Drosophila melanogaster: one gene and its partner. The protein of the gene in region 1 interacts with the protein of each later gene in a pairwise test. Each region holds a gene or a part of one and is shown in the gene's direction. Other genes may lie near its edges.

Region 1 (4,392 bases):
ACTACAGCTGATTGTTTTGGGAATTCAGCGGGATAAATGATCATATGTTTGAAATGAAAAAGCCTTCGCAATGCCATTTGTGCGCCTCGTGTTTCTGTCACCTGAATCCCACGATAATTTTTTGCCTGGAAGTTCTGGCCAAGATCAAGGATCTCACTGGAATATGGGTATGTTGATGGTTTCTTGTGTGCGTGAATGGCATAACCCATTTACTCCATTTACAGTTAGAACAGAATGAACGCCAGCCGCGTCATATTTGCCCATCTTGTTTAAATGACTTGAACACATCGATTAAGTTAAAGAAGCGCATTCAACGAGTTCACAATGAAGCAACGCTGAGGCGGGAATCTGGGCTTGATGAGGATCTAGAAAGCACTGTATCCGATATAGAGCCAGAAGGGGATTCCAGTGACTTGGAATCGGAGGAATCATATGATTCAGAAAACTATCCATTTGACAAAAAAGCAGAGGAATCCGATATTGATTTAAATCTCGCCCATGAGGATAGGAGAAACGAACCACATAATCCTTATGATTCGGAAACCCCCTTAATATTTAAGCATAAAAATCCATTAATTGAGACTCCTTCATTTGCAAATGAAAACTTGCCTAACAAAGTCGATGCAAAAAGCCCAAAAAAGGGAAACTTTATACAAATTGGAACCGATCTGAGACTACTTACAACGTATCCCTCTATTAAGGTAGTAAAGCCCCTTGCATTAGCTCCAGAAGATGTGGCAGCTGAGAATGTACCCCCTGCAAAAAGGACAGCTCGGAAAATGCAATCCCTGGTGTGCCCTAAGTGCGGAAGGGTCTTTAAGACTCCATACAACCTAAAGACGCATATGGTGCGCCACACGGGTGAGAAGAACTTTCCATGCACGTTCTGCGACAAGCGGTTCGTCACCAAGTATCTGGCTCGTCTACACGAACGAGTGCGCCACATGGGCGAACAGCCGTTTGAGTGCAACTTCTGCTCGGCAACGTTTTTCACAAGTACAGCTAAGTCGAGCCATGAGCGGTAAGTCCTTACTGCAATTGTATTTAACTTTAAAAGCGCTGACATAAACAATTTCCTAACACTATGACAGAATACGGCACATCAGAGATCTGAGGTACCAATGCGACCAGTGCACCAAGAGATTCAATACCAAGACCTGCTTGAATAAGCACAAGTTCCTGCACTCAGGTCTTAAGCCCTTTGAGTAAGTGAAATGATATGAAATTTGCGCATATTTAATACAAGTCGTGTATTTCCCTCTCAGCTGCGTTATTTGCCAAATCAACTTTGCCCGAAAGGCAACGCTAAGGAGTCACTTCGATTCGGTTGCTCACCAGAAAAGAGCCAGCGCCATCCTGGAATCCGAAGAGCATTGATTCGCCAAAGAATTAGAGATCGTTTTTAATTCCGTCTTATAAGATGCGGGATATGTAGATGAAAGCACGACTTGGATAATTCTGAGGCTCAGGATATCTATTAGACATAAATGTTTGAACGTATTCTCACTGTTTTGGCACTGGATTGCCCTTCGTTTGCTATAACTTTTTTGTATTACATTTTTGTCATTTGCTTTTCCTATTATGAAGTAGTTTCTTTAAGAGTGTAATATTTGGACAGCCATTCATTTCGAAATGTTAAATACCTTACTATTTAATTAATCGTTTTCATTTAAAAACAGAAAACTTATGTATAATATATATTTTTAATTCTTTTTTTGAAGTGGTAAATATATTTGGTAATTCCTATTTGCCACGAAAAGCAAATGCTTGGAGTATATTCCATAACGACCCTTGAATAAAAGGCGCCATTTTCAAATTTTGGCGCCACCGCTTGGCAGTCACCCAGAGACGCGGACAACAACAACAGTTCGCTGCGAATGGCCCAAAATGAAGCAGCAGCTGTTAATAAAGCAAGGAATTTTGGCTCGAAAAATAACTCTTAAAAATGACGCCACAATGCCGGTTGTGTGGAGATTTAATATACACGCAAAATCCAGTTAACATATTCGATGAGAACAGCAAAATGGTCAGGCAAATCGCATTGGTCACGGGCCTTTGGGTGAGTGTGTAAATTAAATTGGCAAATTTAAACCGCTAATGCTCGTTTGGTTTTCAAGCTCACCGACCACTCGAAGATGCCCCGGAATATGTGCTCCTGCTGCCTGCTGAGCCTGAAGAGCGCCATTGCCTTCCGGCAAGCCTGCATCAAGACCAACAATCGACTGACAATCCAGCGCCGAAGTGTGGAAGCCAAGGATGACGGATGCTGGGCTGATCCGCTGAGCGATGCGCACGAGGGGCTGAAGATCAACGATGCGGAAGTGGAGCAGGAGGTGTTGTACGAGGTGTCCTATGCGGATAATGAAGGACTGGAGGAAGACCACGACCTGTACAAGAAGGAGGAGGAAGAAAGCGAGGTTAATGAGAACAAGGAATTTGAAGATATTGCCTGCGAAATACCCTTCAGTAAGGAGGATGATGAGCAAGAGCAACAGCAGGAGTATGAGGATATGGTGGATAAAAAGACAGGACATGATGATGGCGAGGAGTCACAGGAATGTGAGGAGTCACAGCCAGATGAGGAGGAAAGTCAGCAAAATGAGGAGGACGAAGAGGAGTCACAGGAAGACGACGACGAGCTTTGGCAGAACGAGGACGGCGACAGCGATACAGATGCTGATTCTATGTCAGATATAGAAGCCACATCGCGTCAATCGGCCCTTGACGAAGATAAGAAGCCTCGTCGAAAATACACCAAGAGATCATCTCCCAAAAACGACGACACCGACTTTCTCAAACCTGCGAAGAAAAAACGAAAAACATACATAAGCCAAAAGGTCCACATCTGTGACCATTGCGGCAAGAAATTCACCGACAAGGGCAACTTTAATCTGCACGTGCTGCGCCACTCGGGCGTCAAGCCCTTCGAGTGTCCTGAGTGCGGACAAAAGGAGTTCAACAGGTACATCCTGAACATTCACATTCGGGTGAAGCACCGCGGAGAGAAGCCATACGCTTGCCAGTTCTGCGACGAGCGTTTTGTGCACAGTACTATGCGATCGCGCCACGAAAAGTGAGTCTATAGCATACCTTAAATCCCCTAAATTGCACCTACGAACACTGCCATTCTTTCAGCCGGGTACACCGGAACAAGAAAACACCAAAGAACTTCAAGTGCAACTATTGCGACAAGCGATACGAGTCGAACTACCAGAGGGCCAAGCACGAGGTGGTCCACACCGGCGAGCGTAACTTCCAGTAAGATCTTGTGAAGATATATGGCTAGATTTTTCTTTCTCCTAACATATTCCTTTAAGTATCAATCATCTTATTATTCCCACTTTGTAACTCTTTACTTCCTAATATCCACTACATCCAGCAATCAAGTTAACTATTTCCTGCTTGAAAAGTTACTTTTTCAAATGTTTAACTTTGTTTTTATCTACTTTCCCCTTAGCTGTGAGGTCTGCAAAGTGTCCTTTACACGGAACTCGAACTTGAAGACCCACTACCGCTCCAGGCAGCATCAAAATAAGCTGATCGCAATGAGTGCTAAGTCCGAAATTGATTCCAAAAATAAATAAGGTACAAATGTTTTGTTGTTAAGTGTTGTCATCCGTTTAGAGGTCTAATGTTCTTATCTGTTAAAATTATAATAATTTAGTATAAAAGTATTTCTAAGAAGTTAATAAGATGAAATATCATAAGATATCTGACTGTGATTTGGGTGTATCGATCAGTTTTGAAAGTGGATCTTTCATCCTCTTAAATATTTAACGTTTATTACAACAAATCCACAGTTCAAATCGGAAGAACTAATTCCTTGTAGTTCACTTTAAAATGTGCCATTCACACAAAACAATGATAAACTAGATTATTCTGTAAACAGAAGTCCAACTTTGTTTACTTGGCGGAAACTAAACAATTGAGTTGAAACTGCAAAAAGGATGACCACGCTGTGCCGCACCTGTGGCCAGGAGGCGGAGCACGCCAAGTCACTTTTCGATAAGGAGGCCAGAGATGTCCTGAGCAACATCCTCAAGCTGACGGGCTTTTGGGTAGGTGACTATTCCCGGTAACCACGGAGTCATTCCCTCTTCGATTCCAGTTGAGGAACCAGCCAGGTGTGCCAACGAGGATCTGCTTATCCTGCTTGCTGGATCTGAACGATGCCATCGCATTCCGGGAGCGCTGCATCAGGACCAATTCGTCTTGGTTCGAAAAGCAGGGCAAACAAGAGGATTCGGACACTGAGACTGCAAGGGAAGGCGGGAATAACAGGTTAGAAAGTAGGGTGGATGTTATGCCCATTAGTATTGCACAGCCGCAAAGGAGAAGGATTCTACCACAACGCAGCAAGAAAGTGGATGGAGTGCCTCTTAAGACAGTAGA
Region 2 (6,897 bases), on another chromosome or scaffold:
AAAAATAATATACAATTATTTTGTATAAGCACTCCCTTTTAAAGAAATCTAACCACACATTTTCATAACAGCCAGTACTTACACGCGCCTTAGTCACCACCTCCATGGGCACGTATCGTTGGACCTGGCTTATAAGTCATCGGCCTCGAGGTTTCTTCGGGCGTTTGAATTGGGCAGTTCCCAAGGGCATTCCTAGGGGGTATTTATAGGCGCCACTTAGCCGCCCATGCAGCAGTTCATGTCAGCACACCACAATGTCCGGTTATCCAAGTGCTTCTCTGGTCACCTTTGCGCTTTGTTCCATTCTTTGCCTGAATGGAATTGAAGGCAGTCATCTGAGGTTCCCAGGACCCGCGGCGGGAAGGTTTCTGCAAAGACAGGAACAAGCCCCATATCCACCAGCAGGCCTGGTCCCCGATCCGCCATTCGACCTGCCAACGGAGGAGGCGGTTGAATTTCCTCAACCGGAGGATACATATGGCCCTCCACCTGAAACATACGGACCACCGTCTTTGGTGGAAGCGCCAGCTGAGGTCTACGGCCCACCGGACCAAATTTATGGACCTCCCGATCAGACCTACGGACCTCCAGACCAGCCAGCCAATGATGACAGCTCCAACACATTGCCACAAAGCGCAGCTATAATTAATTTGGCAAGTCTGCCGCTACCACCCCAGGCTCAGTATGTTCTGCCGCTTCTGAACCGACTTTCTGCCTTCCGCCCGCAGCGTCCGGTTCTGCGGACTCCGCAGCGACGGCCGGCTAAGCTTACGGTTCGTCGTCGGCCAGATGCGGTCAAGATTGTGAATGCTATTAGGCCTACTCCAGTGTTCCCATCGACTCCGCAGGCTTTGCCCTTCGTGGATCGCCACATTCCTTTTCGCCCACGGCCATCTCGCCTGATAGTCAATGCGCCTTTCAGACGCCCATCCAGGCAATAGACTACTTCTTTCAGCACTCCAAGCAATGTCATGAATACACTGTAAATAAAGTTTGTTGTCTATGTCTAATTTGCGATCGAAAATAATTAGGTAGAAAATTCAGAAGGCCAGCCGCTTCATCAGCAGGTACATGTGCTGGTCCACCTCGAAGCCATGAAGATTGTTGGCGTCACCCTGAAGTCGCATCAGCAAGCCGCCGAATGACACGTAGGCGGAGAGCCGGGAGGCCTCATTGTGTGCTTCGTCGCCCTCGATCCTGTAGATCTTGCCGTACATCACGTACTCAAAGCTGTCCGCCCGCGTTCCCTCGTGCTCCATTGGATTGTACTCCCCGCTGTCCGGGCAACCATCCTCGCGCAGGGTGGTGGCCAAAACCAGGCGGAACTTGTCGCCCAGCTCCATGGGGTATAGCCACGAGTTGATGTCCAGGATGAGGTCCATCTTAAACGACTCGGACTCGCAGTGCAGGCGGGATACACGGTCGAACTTTTTGCCCTCCGGATCCATGTCCTTTACGTTGAAGATGTCCTCAAAGAGTACTCCAGCCATTTTAACTGAAATGTAGTATTTGATGAGTTATTGCTTTGAAGTCAGTTTAGTGGAGCTCCAAAAACGCACGCCTTACCTTGAGTCGGCTAATTAGATTTTATACGTATTTGATCTTATATGCGGAGGTAAATGCGTGTTCTTTTATGAACTGGGTTTATATCAGCAGAATTTTATTATATTTAAACTGTTAGCGACTAATATTTATTTCTTAAATATTTTGCATGCGCGTGTTAAGTATGAGAGATGCCAGATCTTTCTGGCGGCTTGAGTGTTGCCACACGTCTGCGATTTCAGTGAGCAAAGTGGTCACGTTCAGCAGGCTGTGATTTCAGTGTGTAAAAGAAGTCACGTTCAACAAAGTGTGCCTCACTTTGTTCTTACTGAAATTTCAATAAATATTGCAGTGATACTGCGCAATGTGATTTTTAACTTATTTATAACTTATTGCGCCGCAACCTACACGTTATTGGATTTTCTCTAACTAGTGACTGTGCATCACGCTCCCATCTGTGGCCGCGCAGACAGAGAGTCCCAGTGTGACCGTCTATCGGTGAATACACATCACTAACATTAAGAACAACATCGAAAAACCACCGAAAACTGTTATTTATTTTGCTGGACAAAACGCAGTATTGGCTTAGAATCGGCAAACCCGCAAAGTCCCACAAAGGTTAAGCCGCAGGCAGCACGATGGATACACCTTGAGGAGCCAGTCGGACTGCCACCTAGCGGATTGCAAAAAGTATGTACACACAGCTCGTGGTGTCGAAATTAAAAACAAATAAGAAGCGAACTCATAGTCGGACGCGGAATGCATAGGAAGTCCAGGTGTGTCCCATTCGGGGTGATGCTAAGTTTCCTGTGGATCGAAGGCCCTTAGCCTAGCGACTCCTGCTTTTTGCGAAGGTAAGTCCACGCCCGGTGGGGCTTTGGTGTTGGTGTTGAATGTGGAGCCCCTGGGCCAAATGTGTAGCATATGTGTATAATGGATTGCTTTACGTATATGAGTGCTGTGGTGCTGGTTCATTAATTACTAACAATCGGTTGCAAGACCCCGAAAACTACACAGTCGTCGAGTTTTGTGCCCCGAATACGAAAGACTTCAACGGCCCCTACCCTCATCCAGCGACCGCCGCCGCCTTAACCCTTACCCACCCCCATAACCCCGCCTATTTAGCATTACAAAACTGCTGTTATGTATTCACTTCTTTATTTTCGCTTTTTGTGTGTGATTTTCGCTGTCGTTCGTGCTTTTTGCCCTGTTCTCTTTCAATTTCGATTCCCAGCTGCGGATTCTAGCTTAAATTCGCTTTTTCAACAGTTTGGTCGAGGGCCGTTGTGCTGCTAAAGTGAGTTAGTTTTCAGCTTCTGCGGGTGCGGCTCTAATGAACCATTAACCCTCCGCAGGGGGAGGGGGTTGCTTGGCACTGGAATCGGAATCGGAGGGTTCCCAATCTGCTTGCCAGATGTTCGTCCCAGCCCAGGGTCATCGTAATCGCTCTCTTGCAGTTGCATTTTCAGTGTTCTCGCTTTTCATTGGAAACTCCGCCGCCTCGGAGAACAGACGCCGCGGGATCGAAAACGCTCAGGTTGCACAGCTTTATCTCGATATCTTTTTATAGCTCTACCGTGATTTTAGTGAAAGCGGTGGATTGCTTATCAGTTGTTGCCTTCCTCGGGATCTTATCAGGCGGTTTCTCCATCTCGCTCCCGCCCAAACAAAAGATTAAGACAACAAACTAAGAATTTTTTTTGGAAGCTTACGTTCGCTGGAAATGTCAATTGATAATGCGACCCACTTCAAGACTTGGGCTCCTAGCTCTGTACACCGTGAAAAACAGTCCACAACCTTCCGTTGTTAACTAGATTTGTAAAGAAACGAATATATTTTCTAATTGGATAGCCAATGAATTGCAATTAATTAATTAATTATGATAAACAACGTCTAAAAATCTCAAGTGATTTCGACAACACTGCAAAAATAGTAAGAACTATTGCATTAACGTAAAAAGTGCCATGCTTTTCGAAGCCCCTAAATATGCAAATCCACCAATTTTGGTAATATTTTTCCTGTGCATAGGTCTTATCACTGTTGACACAGCTGGAGTTTCTGTTCCGTTGCTGTTTCTCTTCTTGTTTCTGTTTCGGCTTCACTTGCGGTTACTATTTCTGTCTGTGTTTTTGATTCTCCGTCTGCTTCGGAACGTGGCGCTCGGCGAGTGGAGAATTAAAACAGCTCTTAACTTTTTTTGCAGCCCATCTGAACTAATCCAAACCAAAGGTGAATGGGAACTATCCTAGAAGTAGCAATCGAACCAAAAAATACGAATACCCTAAATTACATACGTAGAACATTAACCCTAGAAGTAAAGACAAACGCAGCAGGTGCCGGTGTTTCCCAGGAAGCGGTCCCCAGAAATTTAGTTACGAATCCAAATAATAAAAACCAAACAAATGGTACGCAGCCGTCGTAGTGTGTCCAAGGAGGATGCCGTCTCTCTGCTCACAGACAGCGGCATATCGCTGTCTTCGCCGCCGGCGGCGAGGGAATCCTCACCAGGCCCTACGCTTGCGATCAAAAGGAGGAAGAGCAGCTTGGCAAGTCTGCGCGATGCTTGTGTGGACGAGGAGGAGGACGACGGCGGAGAGCAGGACTCAAAGGATGATGATTACGTGCAACCGCAGCTTAAGAAGTCTGCCCGAAAGGGCGAACCGGTGAAACGCAAGCACCATGTCTGCAGTCAATGCTCCAAAGAGTTCGGTGGCAAGACGGATCTGCAGCGCCACATGCTTATCCACTCGGACGAACGACCGCACAAGTGCAAGGATTGTGGCAAGAGCTACCGCCAGGCGGTCAACCTGAAAAATCATATCACCACCGCCCACGAGCATCGGAAACAGTTCGTTTGTTCCCAGTGCCCAAAATCATTCGCCCTCAAGGAGCGCCTGCGGCTCCACATGCGCCTCCACTCTGGCGAGAAGCCCTATCCTTGCGACCTCTGCGACAAAAAATTCGCCCGAGGAGGTCAAGTGAGTAATACGACATTCCATTTTTAACTGAGATTTAACAATTAATTTTATATTTTTCTCATAATTTGATTTATTATAAACTTAAATAATAATATTTATTATAATAATTAAATATAAATAAGTGTATTTAATAATGAACTTTCTATTAGGCTTTTGTTTTTATAGGTCTTAACCATTGGTGTTCCTAATATATATTATCATTTATATTGCAGCTGCAACAGCACATGGTTTCTCACCACAAGACGAGTATCCAGCAGTTCAACTGCACTAAGTGCTCGGCCAGCTTCTCAACCAACGCCAATTTACGGGTGCACATGGAGCGACACGAGCAGGGCATGGAGCACCGGTGCAGCATCTGTGAGAACCAATTCGCCAACGAGCTGGCCCTGCGAGCGCACATAAACCAGGAGCACCACAAGCTGACGCAATTTGAGTGCGAGATATGCCATAAGATGATCGAGCCGGACGAGGATTTGGCCACTCACATGCAGAGGCACACCGCTGTTAAGACCCACGTCTGCGAGGTGTGCAACACATATTTCACCCAGAAAAGCCAGTACAATGTCCATATGCGAATGCACACGGGAGAGCGCCCCTATCAGTGTAGGGTAAGTTGAAAGGGTGTTAGCTTGCATGCAGCCGTAAATTATGTTTCTACTTCCATCAGATCTGCCACCAGACCTTTGCCCATTCAAGCGTACTAAAACTGCACATCCGAAAGCATACGGGGGAAAAACCCTTTCGCTGCCAGCTGTGCGAAGACGAAGTAGCCTTTTCTCAGCTGGCGCACCTAAAGAACCACATGAAGAAGATACACAAACAGCAAAAGCCCTACATGTGCGAAGGCTGCCACGATTTCTTTAAGATCAAGGTGGAGCTGCAGTCGCATGTTGAGCACTGCGCCAAGTGTCCAGTTGACGGGGACAAACCCAGTGGCAATCAGTCTGAAGATGCGCAAATTCTCTCTGTCTTAAGATTTAACATGGCAGTGGTACTGAAGAAAATTAGCTCCGCTCAAAAGCTGCGCCAGTTGGGCTACGAGAAGCGTCTAATCGATAACGTTATCATTGCATCCTTGAAGCTGGCTCAGCGACAATCCCATGACGACGCCACGATGACCCCATTGGCCAGACTCCGGCTAAATGTGGAGGAATTTCTTAAGTGGATTGTGCCAGCCCCCACTATGCAGAAATTCAGCGACGAATTGTTGTCTATAGACACGATTCTTGAGAAAATTGCTACCATGTATATGAAACAGAAGTAGAATCCAGGAGTTGATAGCCAACGCCAAATGCGAGTGTGCCATAGAAGAAGGATTTGTAGAACTAGTTCTTGCCATTTAGTTTAGTGTTTAGTAACCCAAAGTTGCAGAACGAAACCCAACCAAATAATTTATCCCAAAGATATATACTTTGTAGTACAGGTCATTTTAATGAATTACTACCCTTAATCCCAATTTTGCTGCTACCAAAAAGTATAATTTGAAGAATGTATGAGTTAGTGTTGTCATAATAATTTCCCTATTAAAGGAAATTAGTTTAAGAACGAATTTCGATGCAATAATTTATAAAATAATAGGCATAACACGATTGAAACCTGAAATATTTTTGTATGCTTAGTCTTGCCAGAGCAACAGATTGTCCCGGAGTGAATCTATAACAGCTCAAGTACAATACAACTCATTGTGGCCATGCTTGTAAAATTAATAAGCTTAATGCATTTAGTTGCCATTTGTCTTTTCCAACAAAAGTGCAAAATCTGAAGTGTACAACTGAAATGCAAATCAAAATACGCAAGTGAAAAAATGAAATGAATAATAAATATTATTTGTGACTACAACCCAACACTGGATATTAGTTTTTCGGACTTTTTAATCATGAAACAATTTGCAGCAAGTATTATTTTCGCTTATTTTTAAGATTTCGTAAGTCTGCGAGCTTACGTAAGAGTTAGAGAAAGTTTATGAGAACGAATGATAAAAAGAACACATTCCCTTAACTAAGAGTGAGCACGTCCACTATCCCACAAAGCTGCTCCCACACTTTTGAATATATTAATATTAATTTAATAATTTTGGTTTTTATTATTATTATTGAAAGTTTCTATGTTTATTCCAAAAGGATTTTGGCCGTCTACAACAAATGGCAAAGGCCTTACATATTATTTCAGTCAACTTTCGATCTTGCTGTAGCTGGTGTCTGGAAGTTGAGGATCTCGACTAGCATCTTAGGAAGCGACACGGCTTGAATCAATCAATTTTCTGCATCTCCTGGCTTGCGTGCCTTTGACCTTTGAGGCTCATCTATGGAATTTCAAGTCCGGCTGGAAGCTGCATTCCATATTTGAATGCGGCCAAAAGAGCAACGAGTCGCACAGA

Evidence for each region.
Region 2: the proteins of Nnk (region 1) and CG11247 interact in a two-hybrid assay, tested with the Drosophila melanogaster proteins (one large-scale study listed by BioGRID).

What each region holds. Positions count from the first base shown.
Region 1 is NT_033777.3:17,802,722-17,807,113, reverse strand, and holds Nnk (nicknack), read left to right. Parts: upstream 1-1,864; 5' UTR 1,865-1,945; coding exon 1,946-2,059; intron 2,060-2,117; coding exon 2,118-3,073; intron 3,074-3,135; coding exon 3,136-3,258; intron 3,259-3,457; coding exon 3,458-3,584; 3' UTR 3,585-3,889; downstream 3,890-4,392. Other genes in the region: CG17801 (uncharacterized protein), read left to right, coding at 45-167, 225-1,021, 1,092-1,205, 1,266-1,377; CG17806 (uncharacterized protein), read left to right, coding at 3,948-4,058, 4,109-4,392.
Region 2 is NT_037436.4:21,723,786-21,730,682, reverse strand, and holds CG11247 (uncharacterized protein), read left to right. Parts: upstream 1-1,876; 5' UTR 1,877-2,232; exon of another isoform or gene 2,233-2,290; 5' UTR 2,291-2,396; intron 2,397-3,745; 5' UTR 3,746-3,944; coding exon 3,945-4,520; intron 4,521-4,732; coding exon 4,733-5,128; intron 5,129-5,187; coding exon 5,188-5,784; 3' UTR 5,785-6,357; downstream 6,358-6,897. Other genes in the region: CG14570 (uncharacterized protein), read left to right, coding at 255-941; Polr2H (RNA polymerase II, I and III subunit H), read right to left, coding at 1,041-1,490.